Rattus norvegicus: one gene and its partners. The protein of the gene in region 4 interacts with the protein of the main gene of each other region in a pairwise test. Links are inferred from orthologs where the notes say so. Each region holds a gene or a part of one and is shown on either strand. Other genes may lie near its edges.

Region 1 (3,581 bases), on a different chromosome or scaffold from region 4:
GGTCCTGGAGAATCACCATTTTTTGTTTTAGGATCAGCTCCCTTTGTAAGGCTTCCTAGAGGAGGAATGCAAAAGGAAAGATTAACTTGGAGGAAGAGTAGGTGGAGAGTTCTCTCTCTCTCTCTCTCTCTCTCTCTCTCTCTCTCTCTCTCTTTCTCTCTCGTGTGTGTGTGTGTGCGTGTGTGTGTGTGTGTTTGTGTGGTCACCATGATACTTACTTTGAGGTATTCAGAGAGTTGAATGATGTCCTAGTGAGAGAGATGAAAGAGATAATTCAGGAGGACTTTGGTGTAGAATCAGAGTACTGGTGGGCTCACATATAGCAGATCTCTTTTGCCTTGGATCCTTCTGGCCCCACATCTATGCTGAGGACCATCTAGTCATCCTGGAAGAAGGTGTCCCTTCACCCCAGCCTGAGTTTATCGCAGAATCCCAGACTGGTAGAGCTTAGGTGCTGTCTGAGCCAGACCCCTCCAAATGAAGGTTCTCTTACCTTGTCTAGGACGGCAACTCCACAGCTGGGAAGAGAAGGAAAATACGACAGTGGGTCAAAGGATGAAACCTGTGAGCAGGCAGGATGTCAGCTGCATCTGGCACCTCTGCTGAAGTATAGTGGTGTGGGAAGGACTTTTCCCTCCTCATTCGGGGTGGGCTCGGTGTCCAGGAGAGGTGTTCCAAGTAAACACTTGGAGGAGTAGATGAGATGTGAAACTTTGGGGTCAGGAACATAGAAGGAACTCACTTGGTTTGCTGACTGGCATCATTCTTTCTTGTTGGCCATGCCTCTTCTGCCTTTGTCTGAGTACCTGAGAGATGAGAGGATGATTCAGCATCCAGGGGAGGGATGGGGGAGCTGGACTGCCATTGCAGGTTGGCTGTGCTCTCACCCTGGTGGTGTCTGTGTGGCTTCATGGTGTCAGAGTCCTGTGGTGGAAAGGCTCTTCCATGGGAAACATGGTGGTCATCCAGATCTCTCTGGATGCCTGAGGGGGGATGACACAAGGCTGGGAAAACCTCGGAGCATATCCCTGTTTCCTGGAAAGCAAATGAAGGATGAAGGATGCTGAATGCTATTCTGAAGGGCCTCAAGTTTTCCAGACAACTGCAGAAAGAGGGACCAGGGGCTGGGGATGTAGTTCAGTGATGGGGACTTGCCAGGCACGTACAAGACCCTTGGCTCCATTCTCAGCATTGGAAAAAAAATAGTAATCGCATCTGTGTGCACTGAGCGGTTTTCCTGAAACTCACATGTTGAGATTCTAACAGTGTTGGGAAATGGAGCCTTTGAGAAATACTTATGTCTGAGTGTGGGGCCCTGATGAATGAGGTTAATGCTCTACCAGAAGAGCCATGCAGGAGCTTGTCTCTCTGCCTGCTCTCTCCCCCATGAGTGGACACAATGTATGACCATCTGCACACAGGACGGGTGTCCTCATCAGATTCCAGACACCCTGGAGCCTCGAGTTTGGGCTTGGGCTTTACAAATAGTGAGAAATACCTTTCTGGGCACAAGCTATTCTGCCCATGGTAACCTGTCATGGCAGTTTGAGCAGTATTTCCCACCTAGAAACCCCACTGGTTCTTTCTTGTCCTGGACAGAGAGAATGTCTCTTCTTGGTCAGACAAGGAGTCAGTCTTGCTTCATTCTCTGAATGAAGCTATATGCTGATTAAGAGGGAGAAGTGGTCAGAGACTTGACAGTAGTCAGATCTGGCCTTTTCTAGGCCTCAGAGGTCCTAGAGGGCCTGCCTGCCTCTCCTTAGAGCCACAGGACCTTTGAGCTTTCCCACTGAAGAAGACAGAGTAGGGAACTTGTTTGGGGGATGGGATGGTGGTGCTCATAGGTTAGTCTGCTCTTTTTATCTTTTCTTCTATAAAATAAAAACGTCTATATTGATAATTCAGCACTAAAAACCCAAAGAGTGTTTATGGGATTCCATCATGGGCTGACCTGATAACTGTAGGCAGGAAGTTATTTCACTGTTTTCTGTTCTATCCTTCATAGCCTGCCCCCCTCACCCAGGCCTTGTTACCCTGTAAGCAGGCAGCTGGTTCTTTTGCAGTTATGTTCCTGGCTGGTTGTTCTGGGCAGTTGTGTGGCAGCCTCATGAAGGGGCCAGAGACAGTATAGTCAGTGAAGTGCTTGGCTTGTAACCATGAAGCTCAGAACCCATGGTATGTTTTGTTTTGTTTAAAAAGCCAGGGTGGTGGTGAGTGCTTGTGATTCCATTGCCAAAAAGGTGGAGCCAGGCATCTAGATCCACTCAGTATCAAAAAACAGGGAATGATACCTGGAGTGAACCTTTCGATTTCACATATAAATTCATGGGCGTGCACACACACACACACACACACACACACACACACACCCACACACACACCCCTGCTATATGAAGTACCTATTCTTGGTATGTGTGGCAGTAGCCAGTGTTACATGGACCCATTCCTCTCCTCAGTGTGCTGACAATATAGTGGGATAACAGAGTCTGCTATTGTGAACACTGCTCCTCCTAGGCCATGCTAATGGACTTTCTGTACATTTATGCAATATTAACCATGCAGACCCAAGAGAGCAGAGGTGGCCTGAGTTGCCAGAGAAGGCTGATCAGATGAGGCTTCAGTTGGGTGAAGTTGTTAGGACTGAAGTGTCACAAGAGAAAGAGAAGAGTGGGTGTGAAGCGTTATTGGAGAGTTAAGAGGGTGTGCGTGTGTTGTGCATGTGTGTGAATGTAAGTGTGTGCGCGTATGTGTGTGCATGTATGTATGTGTGTATGTGTGCATGCCTGTGTCTGTGTGTGCATGTGTATGTGTGTGCATGTGTCTGTATATGCATATGTGTGGATGCGAGTGTGTGTATGTGTATGTATGTATGAGTGTATGTGTGCATGTGTCTGTGTGTGTATGTATGTGTCTGTGTGTGCATATGTGTATGTGTGTGCATGTGTCTGTGTGTGTTAGTGTGTTTGCATGTGTGTACATCCATGTGATGCATGTTGGGTTATAGAACTGGGGATGTGGCCCAGTGGCCGAATGCTCACCTACCATGCATAAGGCCTTCAGCATTGAGAGAACAAAAGGAGCGCTGCATAGAATCTGATTATGATACACCTGTAAACCCAGTTCTCAGGAAGGATAATGAATTTGAAGCCATCTTGGATTATATAGCAAGGCCCTATCTCAGAAAAAAAAAACTTATACCAGTTAGTTTTGGCTTGAAATTGCACAATTATTTCCATTCTTCCAATAGGCAGGTGTAGGACTCCCCCCATCCCTCAAAAGAAGTTAAATAAAGACACCACAGAATCTCCAAAAGAGCAATGGTCGATGGCTAAAGGAAACCTGTTTGTATGCTGAGGAAGGGGCTAACAGAAATCGATTGTTAGTGACTTTCACCCCTTGTACCTTGCAGACCCCCTACCCCTGGGCCTGGAGCAGTGACTCGTCATATCGCACCTGCTGTCCAGGGAAAGAGGTCCTGTTGGCTCCAGGCCCGGACTTCTTGAGGATAGACACTTGGCCTGTTCCTCCATCTGTCTTGCTGGAGGGCCTTTGCTCCCTGGATTGACCTTTCTTCTCTTCTT
Region 2 (3,581 bases), on a different chromosome or scaffold from region 4:
GCTAGAGTGTATTCATATACATGAAATAAACAAAATCTTAAAAAAAAAAGAAGAAGAAACAAAGAAAAGGAAGACAGCAAGAGAGTTGAAAAGAGCTCCATTTTATTACGGAAAGTTACAAAAAACGAAACAAACCAGGCAGCTGACCAAGGAGCAATGGGGAGAAGCGAGGCGCCTCCTGAGCGCCCCCCACACTGCAATTCAATTCAATGTGAACCACGTGGAGGAACAGAATTAAATAATTTTCATGGGGTTCAGGATTAGGATCCCCAGCCTGCCCTCTTGGGGGAAACCGAGGCACAGTAATACTGAGCAAAGCTGAAGAAGGTTACACACCTTCCCAAGTCACTCACAATGAAACAAAGGGAAGGTGGAGGATCCCACAGGGGCTCCGCGGGTAGGCATGGCTTGTAAACCTGGGACTCTGCAGGTGGGATTGGGAGCTAGTGGGTATGTAAACCAGGCTGTGATCAAGAGGGAAGCTGTAAACAAAGGGGTAGTGACCTAGAAAAGGGGGTGTTCGTGGATGGAGCGGGATCCCCGGAGAGTGGCTGAGCTTTAAGGAAGGCTGTGAGGCTGGAGGTGCTCCATCTCAATTCCAGATAAATTCTGAATTCCAACCCAGGACTTGATGCTCACTCTTAGCTCACCGAGGATGCTCCGCCCACCGGGAACTTTGGGTTAGGGGTCAATTTAGGCTACCGGCTCCGCCCCAGGAACAGGATGGGAAAAGCAAGTCCGAATTCGCTCGCTTGTCGCCCTTCCCTGCCAGGCGGGCTCACTGCCATGTCTGTCGGCTCTGAATCATCCAAGCTCCAGAATCTTCAGGTGCGAGAAGGAGAGAGGTATATGCCCAAACTCGAAGATGGTCACCGCCGGCAGGACTCATCTGCAGGAAAAGAGGTAATCAATCCAGAGAAGCGGAGAGGGCCTCCGCCTCCCCACGCATCCCCAGAACCGAAGAGTGGCTGGTATAAGAGAAGTCTTTGTAACATGTTGGCTGTGGAACAGTGGTCATCATCACGGTTAACTGGATTCTGTGCTGAGCATCTTGTTTAATTTCACAATCGTCTCAGCAAAGGTGAAGTAATTTAATACCTAGCTATGTATACCTAGGTGCTTTACAAAAATCTACTCAAGTCTTCAAACAACTTCAAGAAGTACTTGCTTGGGGTTGGGGATTTAGCTCAGTGGTAGAGCGCTTGCCTAGGAAGCGCAAGGCCCTGGGTTCGGTCCCCAGCTCCGAAAAAAAGAACCAAAAAAAAAAAAAAAAAAAAAAAAAAAAGTACTTGCTATTATCAATTAAGGCGGGGTACACAACCTTTTTGTTTGTTCGTTTCAGATGGGGTCTCGATCTGTAATAGTCCAGGGTGCCCTGGAACTCACTGTGTAGACTAGGCGGATCTACCCCCGCTTTAGTGATAGGATTACAGGCATGAGTCACTTTTCTCAGCTCAAGGCAGCAATCTTATCGCTGAGCTACACACCCGGAGGCCCAGCACACAACTGTTAACTTTATTTTAAAGGATGATAAATGAAAACTGGGGATACCGATCGGCGGCAGAGCACCCGCCTAGCATGCTCTGGGATCTGGGAGTGCAGGCGCGCACGCCACACATAAGGTAAACGGAAACCGAGCTCGGATTGATTCAGGATCACAACTAAGTAACAGACGAGCTGGAATTCTGACTCCATGCCGCCTGACCCAACACGGGTATTTTTAACCAGATTAGAGATCTGGATAACGAGCGAGCTCTGGTTTTGAAATCTGGAGACTCCAAGTGTGCTGGCTTTCAGGAATCAGCAGATGTAGCAAATTGGACCAAGCTCCTTCAAAGTACCACAAAGCCATGAACACCAGGGGGCGCCCTACGCCAACCACGCCGCAGCCGCTTACCCACGATTAGGGCCTTGGTGCACAGCCCGCCCTGGAGCCCGGGCTGCAGAAGCAACTCCTCCTCTTCCTCCTCCTCGTCATCGTCAGGCTGCGTTGCTAAGGGGGCAGTGGGGGCCTCAGGCTCCGGGCCTAGATCCTCCAGTACCGAGCTCTCGGAAGGGTATTGGTATGTGGTCTCCAGTGCTGTCTCACTAAAGGAGATCTTGAGCTGAGAGTAGGAAGAGAGGGGAGAGGAGGCAAGTTCATCACTAGGGGATCCAGGGAGGGCTGAGAGACCAGAGGCAAGTGGAGCGGGGCTGGGCTTAGGTGCCCCGCAGACCTTCCCTTCCATCCATTTGGGGTTCGGCTTTCCTTTACATCTTGATTATTCCGTCTAATGGCATCATTCAAAACAACACTTAGAGGCTGGGAAGATGACTCAGTGGTTAAGAGCACTCGCTGCTCTTGCAGAGGACCTGTGTTCAGTTCCCAGCACTCACAACCATCTGTAACTGTAGTTCCGGGACCTCTGCAGGCTCCAGGCATACTTGCAGTGTACACGTACACAGGCTTGCAAAACACTGGCTGGGCTGTGAGAGCGATTGTAGCCAGGCCTCTCTGGAACCTTTGACCTTCACAGTGTGTTATGTCAGGTGTCTCTCTGCACCCCAGGTGTGGTGCCTCGAGGCAGCGATTTCAGCGTTCAAGAGGGCTGGAGAGATGGCTCAGCGGTTAAGAGCAGTGACTGCTCTTCCAGAGGTCCTGAGTTCAAATCCCAGCAACCACATAGTGGCTCACAACCATCTGTAATGGGATCTGATGTCCTCTTCTGGTGTGTCTGAAGACAGCAACAGTGTACTTATATAGAGTAAATAAATAAACTTGAAAAAAAATAATTTTTGAGAGAGAGAGAGAGAGAGAGAGAGAGAGAAGATGAGGCAGGAGGATTACACCAAATTCCAGGCTAGCCTTCCATGCAGATCAAACTCTGTCTAAAAAAAGAAAGGGGTGGGCTGGAGAGATGGCTCAGCGGTTAAGAGCACCCGATTACTCTTCCAGAGGTCCTGAGTTCAATTCCCAGCAACCACATGGTGGCTCACAACCATCTGTAAAGAGATCTGATGCCCTCTTCTGGTATCTGAAGACAGCTACAGTGTGTACTTATATATAATAAATGAATAAATCTTAAAAAAACAAAACAAAAAAAAAGAAAGGGGTGAGGAGTTGGAGAGATGGCTCAGTGGTTAAGAGCACTGGCTGCTCTTTCCAGAGGACCTGGGTTCAATTCTCAGCACCCACATGGCGACTCACAACTGTCTACAACGCCAGTTCCAGAGGCTCAGACACCCTCACCCAGGCAAAAACAGCAATGCACATGAAATACAAGAGAGTAAAAGCTGACATTCAGATGGAATCAGGTGACCAGTCTGGGGCTAGCCTGATCTACATAGAGACCTTGACTTTAAAAATAAGCACACACACACACACACACACACACACACACACCCCAAAAAAGAGACTTTGCCATGGCAACGAGGTAAGTAAGGCAGAATTCGGGTCTCTATCTTTCACTGCTGTGAGGCAGAGGTATTTAAAAACAAACAATCATGAAGTCAGATGGGCACTCCTGACTCAGGATTGGATGACAACGGAAAGGTTTAGACGAGCCAAGGGATGCCCAGCATACAGAAGAGTCCCTAAACAT
Region 3 (3,581 bases), on a different chromosome or scaffold from region 4:
GGCATCTGACACATAGAGAGTGCTCATTATATGCAAGAGCATAGAGAAGCATGAGACAAAGTTGGTTAACCGCAAAGGAAAATTGTCCTTTTTAGTTCATTTATAAGTATTTACATAAGTACTGTTGTGTGTGTGTGGGGGGGTGCCTGTGTGTTTATGGCGATCTAGAATGATCAATGAATAAATCTAGTTAATGCTCTTACAGTTCAATGTAGAGGTCAGTGTTGATGTTATATAGTCAGAGTTATAAGGATTCAAGAGTTTTGCTACTTCAATAAAATTAAATTGTGCTATGCTTTGAAAGAGTTTCTTATTCATGCACACATAACTAACTGTCCTTCAGCTACTAGATTATTGCTACCTACTCTGTCCACTGTTACTATGATTGTTCTTAGTATCAGTGCTACTGCATTTCTGTTTGAGCCCATGGTCACCTATAGCTTTAAGGGTATCTCTTTCTTCTGGCTTCCTATGTCACTAAAGAATATGCTTCCAACCATGGACAATCTAGTCCCTTTAATACATACTACACTCTTCGTTCTTCTGCAGTCCCAATATTGATTAAACCTTCCAGTTTTAGAACCATCCAACCATCCAACAGTGTGGCTTCTCAATGGCTGACGGAGACCAAGGAGCCGTTCTGTTGAGAGTCTCATATCTAGGAGGACAGAAGCTAATTCAGTATACTTCCATGGCCATGTTTATTCTCCAAGTGATACTGAATGATTTGGGTCACAGTTCTTTCATGGTTTCTCTTCATTGTTTATTCTAAAGGATCATTCTTCTTTACTAGGTAGCCTGCTTTCTTCCTTTACAGAGAAAATGATGGCATCAATTTATTAAGACTTGGTGAGGTGCCCTCAGTCCAAAACATTTCTGTATGGATTTGTTGCCTAATGTGTACTGTGTCCGTTGTTTCCCAGTGATTGCCAAGTACTATAGTAGACAGTAATCGACTCTTCCGGCTTCCACATCATCTCGAAAATAGATACACATATGGTAGCTTCTCAAATAGTGGTTGGAAGATGAGTGAACTTCTTGAGACTCTCAGCTAATGGTCTCTACAAGCCATTGTGTCTCTTCCTCAGGGTTTCACCTATGGCCCTCTCTTCACTTTGTTCTTTGGTTTACACCCTTTGCGTATTATAGGTAAAAGGTGCTAGGAAAAGTCTACCATCTTTCTGCCATGAGAACCCTCCCTCCACATTATCTTTTACCCTTTCTTCTTATAACCAAGTTTCTCTGATGGGTAGATGGTGCTATGTTTATGTCCTTTATTAAAACATTTCTAGTGTGCAACAAATGTCTTCCAAATATCCTTGTATATCTGTGCCTCTTTTAGTATTTTTTTAAGTAATCAATACATGGTCAATAAATATGTGTTGAAGAAAATGCATATTCAACTTAAAAGAGGATGTGAAAAGAATTGTAATATCTGGTTCTGAGTTTTACTAGTTGATTTGCAGTGTGCTATAATAGATACATGTGGTCTGCAATGCTGTCCGGGGGTCTTTTTCAGCATTTTTTAGCTACTAGGGTTTGAAAAGTAGCTTCTGTTTTTGCAGTCCTACATTGTGCCTCTGAACCTTGTAGGTGATGGAGCACCTCCTGGCGGCTATGGGAACTATGGTTATGCCAATAGTGGATATAATGCTTGTGAAGAAGAGAATGACAGACTCACTGAAAGTCTCAGAAGCAAAGTAACAGCTATAAAATCTGTAAGTACAGAGCCAGTGCCATTTTAACTCCTAGTTTTGAACTTATTGTCATCACAAGAAGGGATTCATTTCAAAATGGTACACTGAGCTCAAAGTGCACCAAAAGTTCAGACCATTCATTGAATAAGTTAGAAGATGTGGCAAGTTAAAAGATGTGGTACTTTTGCTTAATTTTGTTCCTCAAACCATACCTAGCAAGATCTAAATAAATCCATTATATGCAGTAGTTCCAACAGTTCCAGGCATACTTTCTGTATAATTTTAGGCTATAGACAATTCTAACTTGTTCTTTTCCCTCATTTGTTACTGTAATAAAGAAAAATTATTTAACCAGTCTAGACTTATAATCAAAGAAATGTCATATTTTGATTGGGAAATATTAAATGCATATGTGTGTATTTGACTTGGTCCTGTGGTACTAGTAAGTTGTGAAATGTAAGGAATATACAAGTAAATATATAAAAGAGAAAATAAAATGTGCTAGAATAAGAGAACCAGAGAATGTTAACAAGTAGGTTGAATATTGTAAGGAAGGGAGGAAGAAAATGTCACTGTTAGAAGGACAAGACATTTTTAATTTATTTTCCAATAATTTCACTTGTCAGAGCATTGGGGGATCCAGTGAAATAGCCCTTCCGGCTTGTCTGCTAGTGGCTTAAAATATAAAACTGACGTCTTTCTCACTTCCATCTTTGAGCCTCATTTGAATCTTGGCCCCTCCCATGCTTCCCTAGCATGGCCCTGACATTTATGTTCAGACCCGTGGGAGAACTCCTGGGCCTGTCTCAGCTCCTGCTGGTCTTCATAATGTTGTCATGGCTATTGGTAGAATTTGGTTAAAGTGCCTCCTGCCCTCTCAGAAGTCTTTGGATCCTCCTGTTATAAAACTCTTGTAGACTGATTGTTCTCTATGTTCTTCAGAGAATGGCCCGCCCGTCAGAGCTTCTCCCCAGCTTCTCCTGGATTTACAGCGAGACAAACGAGAAGTGTCCTTTGTACGCTGCATACCGCTATGCCCTTTTCCATGTTTGTAAAGGCTCAAACTGCCTTTGGTATTGTCACCTTCCTTCCTTCCTTCCTTCCTTCTTTCCTTCCTTCCTTCCTCCCTCCCTTCCTTCCTTCCTTCTTCCTTCCTTCCTTCCTTCCTTCCTTCTTCCTCCCTCCCTTCCTTCCTTCCTCCCTCCCTTCCTTCCTTCCTTCCTTCTTCCTTCCTTCCTTCCTCTCTTCCTTCCTCCCTTCCTCCCTCCCTTCCTCCCTCCCTTCCTTCCTTCCTTCCTTCCTTCTTCCTTCCTTCCTTCCTCCCTCCCTCCCTCCCTCCCTTCCTTCCTCCCTTCCTCCCTCCCTTCCTCCCTTCCTCCCTCCCTTCCTCCCTCCCTTCCTCCCTTCCTTCCTCCCTCCCTCCCTTCCTTCCTCCCTCCCTCCCTTCCTCCCTCCCTCCCTCCCTCCCTCCCTTCTTCCTTCCTTCCTCCCTCCCTCCCTCCCTTCCTTCCTCCCTCCCTCCCTCCCTCCCTCCCTTCAGGAAGATTGCCAGTGCTGGATCTGCCCCTCATGCTTTATCTTAGGACTACACCCGGCATCAACTCTTCTCTATAAAACAAAGATCATTTGTGAATTCAGTGTAGTTCCTTCTCGGCAGTACTGAGGAAACTTCTGTTAAAGGAATTATACAAATGATTTTAAAAGTATGTGTCATTGATTTCCATGGCAATGAACATACTACACACTTGTTAAGCATTCAGTAGAAGCCACATTGTCACATGTAATTGGTATTTAATATCAGTCTTTGGAAGGTTGTATTCAGGTTGTACTCAAAATTGGTTTTTGATATATGGTGTTATTTTCAAAGTCATCTTAATTAAAATG
Region 4 (3,067 bases):
CACTGCTACTTCACCCTGGTCATTGGCAGTATGTGTCTGGAGAGAGGAGTATGTGGGTTCCACGAGGGCCCATGCTCTGCTTCTTGTAGGAGCTAAGGCAAGAAATTTCAAACCTGGAGGAGCAACTGAGTCAGAGCCAGGAAGGCCCAGAGGAGTGAGTGGATGCTCAGGCGGGAATGGGGCTGAGTGAGCAATGGCTCACTGTGGAGGGGAGGCTCAAGCACATGGTCGGGCATGACAGGGGCAGGAGAGGGCTGGGCCACAGGGTGAAGACAGAAGATAAGCCTCCCTCCCCTGTATGCGGCTAGGCTGCTGGAAGGGGCTGAGGCAGGAAGAGTAGGCTGGATCATGGCCCTGCCCCCATCACTGGACTTGGAGATCCAGGCTCTCCGGCAGGTAGGCCCTGCTTCCACGGAAGCTCTCCACGTGTCCCCAGCAGACCTTCACTCTGGCCAGGAGAACTTGGAGGCCATGCTCCTGACCATCATCGCTCACCAATCTGGTCCCCTCACCCATTCCCTCCGTACCTGTTGCATACCTTCCACCGAGCCATCCTCTTGTCCCAGCCCACACCTGTGCCCCACACCTCCATCCCGCCTGGGCTCCCACTCTTCTCCGGCCCTCCCAGGATCACATGCAGCTTCTGCTTCCAGGGGCAGGATGCAGCCAGTACTGGCCTCTCCAGTCCTCTGTGTGGACTGTGGCAGTGGGAAGAGGCTGAACCACAGGAGGAGGCCGAGTCTCCCTCTGAGGACCCTGCTAGGCGACAGGTACACAGAGAGGCTAAGCCACAGGAGTCCAGGGGCCCCACCACCCTCTGCCCCTTTCCTGTGCCGTCTACTCATTGAGCTTACAGAGAGCCTGATGCAGGCTGGGCGTCCAGCCCCAGCCAACAGAACACACACCTGCCCTCAAGGGACAGGCAAACTCAAGCTGCCCCATAGAAACACCTGTCACGATGTGCTCATCTATGATTGAACATATTGTGAAAGACACGAAGGGCCTTTTTAGAAACTGCATGGTGATGGTGGCCATGCCCTTAATCCTAGCACGGGGGAGGCAGAGGCAGGCAGATCTCTGAGACCAGCCTGGTCTACAGAGTGAGTTCCAGGACAGCCAGGAATACAGAGAAACCCTGTCTTTAAAAAAATAATAATAAAAATGAAAGCAAAAAGAAAGACAGGCTTAGCACTAAAATGAATCTAAGCTGCACAGTGGCTCTGTTTCAGAAAACAATGGGGGTCTTTCTACCCAAGGTCTACACTATGCTAGGCAAGTACCCCACCACTGAGCAGAAGCCCTGTGTACTCCTGAGCTGTCCCTGTACATAGGTGAGTCACCCAAGGCACGTGAACCCCAAGTGGGCCAGCAAGTTTAGGTAGCAGCTGGCCTGGGATGGCAAGGGATGTCTGCTCCAGGTGGGGGACAATAGACGGAAAGTGACCTTGTCTTAGGACCCGAGACCCTTGGGAACATACCACACAGTGGTCTCAGGATGCTCAGGTGACTGAATGAGGAGGTGACTCGGCAAAGGGTTTGTCTCTGACTTCGAGTAAGGGTGGGCAGGGTAGGGACAGGGCAGAAGGGCAGTGCCAAGAAGGGAGGTGAGGGAAGATATTAAGTTTATAGGTGAGGTGGCATCTTGTAGGACATCCAGGGCCTCCAGAAGTAGCCAGGTGCACAAGCCTGGAGGTCACCAATCACTAGGAATGGACAGTGGTGACTCACACTGCAACTCTAGAACTGGGAATGCTGAAGCAGGAGGCCTGCCATGAGTTTGAGGCCACCCTAAGCTACAGAGTTAGATCCTATCGAAAAGAAAAGAAGGGTGCAAGGCAGCCCCACAGCTGTACCCCAAATCCCAGGAAGTAGAAACAGGAAGGCAGGAACTCAAGGTCATCCTCATCCTCTGTAACCTAGCGAGTTCATGCCAGCCTGGGCTACAAGACTCTCAGAGCAAAATAACAATGAGCAGGGACATCCAGAGACCCACCCCGAGAGGGAAGAGGGAAGAAGATACTGAGCCCCCTCTTGACTCAGGCTGGTAGATGGGGACATCCTGGGAACACTGATCTCTACTTCTGAGGAGTTCGTACCTATGGCATATCTGGCTTTCTGTGGGTGCTGAGAGGGAGCCCACAGAAAGTTTAGAAGCTTGTACCCTTGGGGGCCATCTACACCAGTCTAGACCTCAGGTAGGGGGTACCTTGCTGGAACTGGGTCAGAAGCCTAGAGTCCAGGAGACCAAATCTTGATGTTCTGCAGACAGACTTCCAGAGAGAGCCAGTGCATGCTCTAGAAGGAAGCAGAACTCCATGCTTGAGGTAAGGAGCAAGTTAACAGTCCTTCCTCTGTCACAGTGATGTAGTTCTGGCTGTCAGAAGATAAGGATGGTGGCACCCCGCAGGAGTCACATCCCCCTCCTCCATCTAGTCTATGACTGCCTCAGAACCCTGGGCCTGCCCTCAGTACATCCTGACCCTGGCAATTCCAACAAGGGATGGGCACATGGACCCTAGGGAGGTCAGGGGCTCTGGGAGGTACCCCAAGGATCAGACTGGATTCACAGGAGCAAGAGGTGCTGGGAAAATACTGATGGGGGCCTTGAGGCTTCCCAGCCCTAGAAAAAGCTTAAGACCCAGTCTTGGGCACCCATAAAGGGAATGGTGTGAGCCTCATGGGTCCTGGGAGTCCAGCTCTGTGACTGATGATGGTGTATCATAAGGCCTTACTCAGGCTTTGAGTAAGAATGGAAAGTGCTGGATGTCTAGTCCCAGCGCCTTCAGCTTCCTGTGGTGCCCCCCTCCTCCAGACTCCTGCTGCCACAGCTAATGAGGCCCCTACACAACCTCTAATTGGACTTGTCTGGGCAGAGCTGAGATTTGGCTGGCTCAGGGCTCTGATCAATGTGACCTCCTCCTACGTCATCAGGATGGAGGGAAGATGGGACTTACGCCCCCTGCGTAGGACTGCTACTAACACATTTTCAGGGCGGCAAACACTGGAGCCCAAAATGGGACTGGGCTGGGGCCTGACTGCAAAAGGCTGGGGACTCAACATACCCTCC
Region 5 (3,831 bases), on a different chromosome or scaffold from region 4:
GTATGAGACTCAGCGATGGAGTAAGCCTTCCCTCCCGCATTCTTGTTCTGCTATACCCCTTATGTGAACAGCCAAGACTGGGGTGCTGTCCTGAGCACACCACTTACGCCATATGGGTTTCCCTTGTGATGTTCTGAGAGCTGCCTGTTCCCAATTGTGTTTCTGCCTCAGGGACAGAACTCATCTCACTTGAAACTGTAGGGGTCCTTGGCAGCGGGCATTTGTCCTGGTGGTTAAGAGTATGTGACCTCTGCAGTAGTGACGTAGATTCTTGTACTTCATAGCTACCTAATTGACCCTTTCTTAGCCCCCTTTTAAAGTTGATAATACTTTTGAAATGTCCATGGTGTTTTTTAATGAATTAGTTATTTTACATCAGACGGTAGTTTCCCCTCCCTTCTCTCTCCTCCAGTCCTTCCCTCCTACCTCCCCCGATACTCCATCCACCCTTTCTCCCTTCTCTTTAGAAAAAGGGGTGCCTCCCATGGATATCAACGAGCCTTGGCATATCAGGTTGCAGTGAGACTATCTCCTCCTCCTAAGGCTAGACAAGGCAGCCCAGTAGTGGGAATGGGTCCAAAGGCAGGGAACAGAGTCAGAGATAGCCTTGCACCCACTGTTAAAGTCACACACAGTCACTAGTATTCTCTCTCTTTTTTGAAAAGATTTGTTTTATGTAAGTACACTGTACACAGTCATTATTGTCTTCAGACACACCAGCAGAGGGTGTCAGATCCCATTACAGATGGTTGTCAGCCATGTGGTTGCTGGGAATTGAACTCAGGACCTCTGGAAGAGCAGTCAGTGCTCTTAACCGCTGAGCCATCTCTGATAAACAAAATGTGGGTCTTCTTTTCTCAGCCCTCACCATGTGGGGTGGGTTTTGTTTTGCTTTTCAGTACATCTCTCCCTTCTTTCTTCTATGAAGTGTTTCTGTGGGGTCTCATACACTGCACCGTGGCCAGTGTTTTACACCACAAAGAATAAGAGGGGTTGTGCTTGTGTGTTCATCCGTGTTTGTGCAACAGCAGACTTATTGACCTTTATTGTGCTGCTTCCCACTGTCTGTTTACAAAGAGACTAAAGAACATCTGAAATGATAGTTTACCTCCTCTTCTTTTCTGTTTATTTGGTTTTAGGAGATTCCTCAACAGTTGAATGGGAGTGATTGTGGAATGTTTACTTGTAAATACGCAGATTATATTTCTAGGGACAAACCTATCACATTCACTCAGGTGAGTCTGGGCTGCTTCTTGTGTTCTGCTTTGGCAGTGCCTGGCACACTTGAGGCTCTTCAAATGAACGGTACAATTGCTAAGAGCCTTGGGTGAGGCCCACTCTTCTCAGAAGCAGCGTCCTGTGTGCTCTGTTGTAGCATGTATTCTCAGGCTTGTCCTGCTCTCTAATGACCAGTGGGATAACTTGCTTGTCCTTGAATTCCATTTTTGATTGGTTCATGTGTGTAACTGTTACTTTAGCTGGAGAGAGGCGTGTGAGAATAGCTGACAGCAGGGGAGCTGGGCCTGTGAGGCTCGCCCCAGAGTCTAAGGTGGAAGCAGGAGTGAGTGGTCTTTCCTTCCTGCAAGGTGGTGTGCTTGGGAGGACACAGGTACATCAGAGACCTTACATTTCTGTGTGATAGTGGACCCAGTCTCCCTTTGTATAGCCAGAGTTAACGCCAATTAAAATTATTTCTCATTCCTAGATCTTTATTTGATAGCTCCTGGCTGCCAAACAAAGTAGTTATTGAATAGTAGAACTAAATGCTTTTGGGGACATGAAGTAAACTGGACTCCCCTGCTGAATCCTATCTTCCCAGTCTCAAAGAAAGCACTCACTACTGGTTAACCTCAGCTGTTTTACTGGGCATGGTGGTGCATGCCTCTAATCCCAGCACTAGGGAGGCAAAAAAGAACCCTGTGATTTTTATTTCAATTAAGACTTTTGCTATACACACCTCCATAGACTCGGCAGTTTATAATGTGGAGCTCGATAGACCCGCCTACTTATAGCAGTGCCTCAGGACCCAGGCAGACGGGAACTGCAGTTTTGATTTTTTTTTTGAGACAAGGTTTCTCTGCATAGCCAAGGCTGTCCTCAGACTAAGAGATCTGCCTGCCTCTGCCTTCCCAGTGCTGGGGTGAAGGGTGCGGACCCCTACCGCCCAGCTGGAACTCAAATTTTCCCAAGCATGGGGTTGGGTGTCTGAGTCACAGGTGGTTTTGGGAGCTTCATGTTTCATTGCTCTGAGAACCTGCCATCGATTCTCCCTGAGAGCACAGAGACTCTCCCCTCCCAACCCTAGTCTCTGGTTTTATTTATTGATACAGGGACACTGTGGAGCAAGACTAGCCTCAGACTCATGATCTTTATATCTTAACTGCTTTCTAAAGTGTTGGGATTATAGGTGTGACTAATATAAGTAGCAAGGCGTTGGTTTTTCTGTATGTGACATGAGATTTCATGGGGATAAGCAGCTTTTGGAACATAATTGATTGTGGTAGAACAGAAATAAAATTGTAGATGTTTGTTTTTCACCTTTTAAATAAAAGTCATTTAAATTGAAAACAGGACCTCATAAATACTTTGGCAAGACCTCTACCACTGAACCATACCTTCCTGCTCTAAGGTTACTTTTTTTAATATAAAAACAAATTGATTTTTTAAATGATGTTCATTTAGAATGTAGAAAAGTTTTCTGTTGTGCCACTGTGTGGACATTTCTAGTTTGGTGCCTGTTTTTACTCTTGTCCTGTGGTATATGATTCTGCATCTGCTTTGGTTTTCTTAGCATGTGAGTGCACATGCACATGTAGGGTAATTAATGCCCTAATGTATGCGCATAGACTAGGTATGTGGCACTCGTCATCCCAGCACTGTGGAGGCTGGGGAACTAGAAGCTTGTGAGCACAGACAGCTTAAGCTGTTAGCAAGACCCTCCCTCCTCAAACAACAAAACAAACAAAAACAAAACCTTTGTCAAACGTGGTGACACATGACTGTAATCCCAGCCCTGGAGAGGATGGTCAAGAAGTAGGAATTCAGGAAGGCCTCCTTGACTAGAAATCAACCCCACTGTGCTTTAGACACGTGTACGTGATTCAGATGGGGAGGCTCATGGAGAGGACATGTGCATCACTCTGTTTGACACCTAAGGCTGCCATGCTGTACACTGAAGTGTCTAACACCGCTGTGGTTCTTTTCAGCACCAGATGCCTCTCTTCCGGAAGAAGATGGTGTGGGAAATCCTTCACCAGCAGTTGCTGTGACAATGCCCCGCCTGGTCTTCTAGTTGCTGGTGGTTCTTTCATGGATGTTTCCATATACCTCATGCATTGTGGGTTGAAAAGTCCCCATCATTTCTCTTCTCTCACAGGTACTGAGCTCTCCAGAGTGCATGGAGGCCTCTCTACAGTGGCCCTGACGAGAGGTGTGGAGGGGCTGCTTGCAGCCCTGTTTGTAAGGCTGTGCCTGCTCAGAGCCCTGGACTGTTCGCCCCATACAAGGACACATACTAATTAATGTTTTGTTTTAAGGCGTTATTTCCATATGAATGTGGGAAATGCAGGATTTGTTATATGAATTGTTCTCTGTGTGTTCACACATATTCACTCACTCATTTGCAAACACTGGGCAGTGCCCTTTCCCACTGCTCTTTTATAATTAGCTATAAATAATTTGTTTGGACTATTTATTTCTGAAAAGAATGTTAATCAAACTGCCACTCCCTGCTGCAGAGATGTCCGCAGGGGGAGGGAGGTGTTCGCCAGCTTCTCTAGTGCCGGGAACTGAACGCACAGTTAAGGTTCTCGTTTAAGGCTTGGAAATGCC

The links. The genes of interacting proteins can lie anywhere in the genome.
Region 1: the proteins of Kash5 (region 4) and Traf3ip3 interact in binary tests that used the Homo sapiens proteins (3 or more experiments, as listed by UniProt). The two-hybrid records come from large-scale screens. The link is inferred for Rattus norvegicus from reciprocal best matches to the Homo sapiens genes KASH5 and TRAF3IP3.
Region 2: the proteins of Kash5 (region 4) and Ppp1r18 interact in binary tests that used the Homo sapiens proteins (3 or more experiments, as listed by UniProt). The two-hybrid records come from large-scale screens. The link is inferred for Rattus norvegicus from reciprocal best matches to the Homo sapiens genes KASH5 and PPP1R18.
Region 3: the proteins of Kash5 (region 4) and Bet1 interact in binary tests that used the Homo sapiens proteins (3 or more experiments, as listed by UniProt). The two-hybrid records come from large-scale screens. The link is inferred for Rattus norvegicus from reciprocal best matches to the Homo sapiens genes KASH5 and BET1.
Region 5: the proteins of Kash5 (region 4) and Senp2 interact in binary tests that used the Homo sapiens proteins (3 or more experiments, as listed by UniProt). The two-hybrid records come from large-scale screens. The link is inferred for Rattus norvegicus from reciprocal best matches to the Homo sapiens genes KASH5 and SENP2.

What each region holds. Positions count from the first base shown.
Region 1 is NC_086031.1:107,241,615-107,245,195, forward strand, and holds part of Traf3ip3 (TRAF3-interacting JNK-activating modulator), read right to left. Parts: coding exon 3,454-3,581; intron 1,036-3,453; coding exon 888-1,035; intron 807-887; coding exon 743-806; intron 519-742; coding exon 494-518; intron 249-493; coding exon 219-248; intron 56-218; coding exon 1-55. UniProt on the Homo sapiens protein: Adapter protein that plays essential roles in both innate and adaptive immunity. Plays a crucial role in the regulation of thymocyte development.
Region 2 is NC_086038.1:2,882,289-2,885,869, forward strand, and holds the end of Ppp1r18 (phostensin), read right to left. Parts: intron 2,106-3,581; coding exon 1,898-2,105; intron 890-1,897; coding exon 870-889; 3' UTR 82-869; downstream 1-81.
Region 3 is NC_086022.1:33,074,622-33,078,202, reverse strand, and holds part of Bet1 (BET1 homolog), read left to right. Parts: intron 1-1,593; coding exon 1,594-1,718; intron 1,719-3,581. UniProt on the Homo sapiens protein: Required for vesicular transport from the ER to the Golgi complex. Functions as a SNARE involved in the docking process of ER-derived vesicles with the cis-Golgi membrane.
Region 4 is NC_086019.1:104,807,693-104,810,759, reverse strand, and holds part of Kash5 (protein KASH5), read left to right. Parts: intron 1-89; coding exon 90-154; intron 155-308; coding exon 309-396; intron 397-653; coding exon 654-770; intron 771-1,256; exon of another isoform or gene 1,257-1,331; intron 1,332-2,265; coding exon 2,266-2,324; intron 2,325-3,067. UniProt on the Homo sapiens protein: As a component of the LINC (LInker of Nucleoskeleton and Cytoskeleton) complex, involved in the connection between the nuclear lamina and the cytoskeleton.
Region 5 is NC_086029.1:92,487,850-92,491,680, reverse strand, and holds the end of Senp2 (sentrin-specific protease 2), read left to right. Parts: intron 1-1,139; coding exon 1,140-1,235; intron 1,236-3,206; coding exon 3,207-3,269; 3' UTR 3,270-3,290; downstream 3,291-3,831. UniProt on the Homo sapiens protein: Protease that catalyzes two essential functions in the SUMO pathway.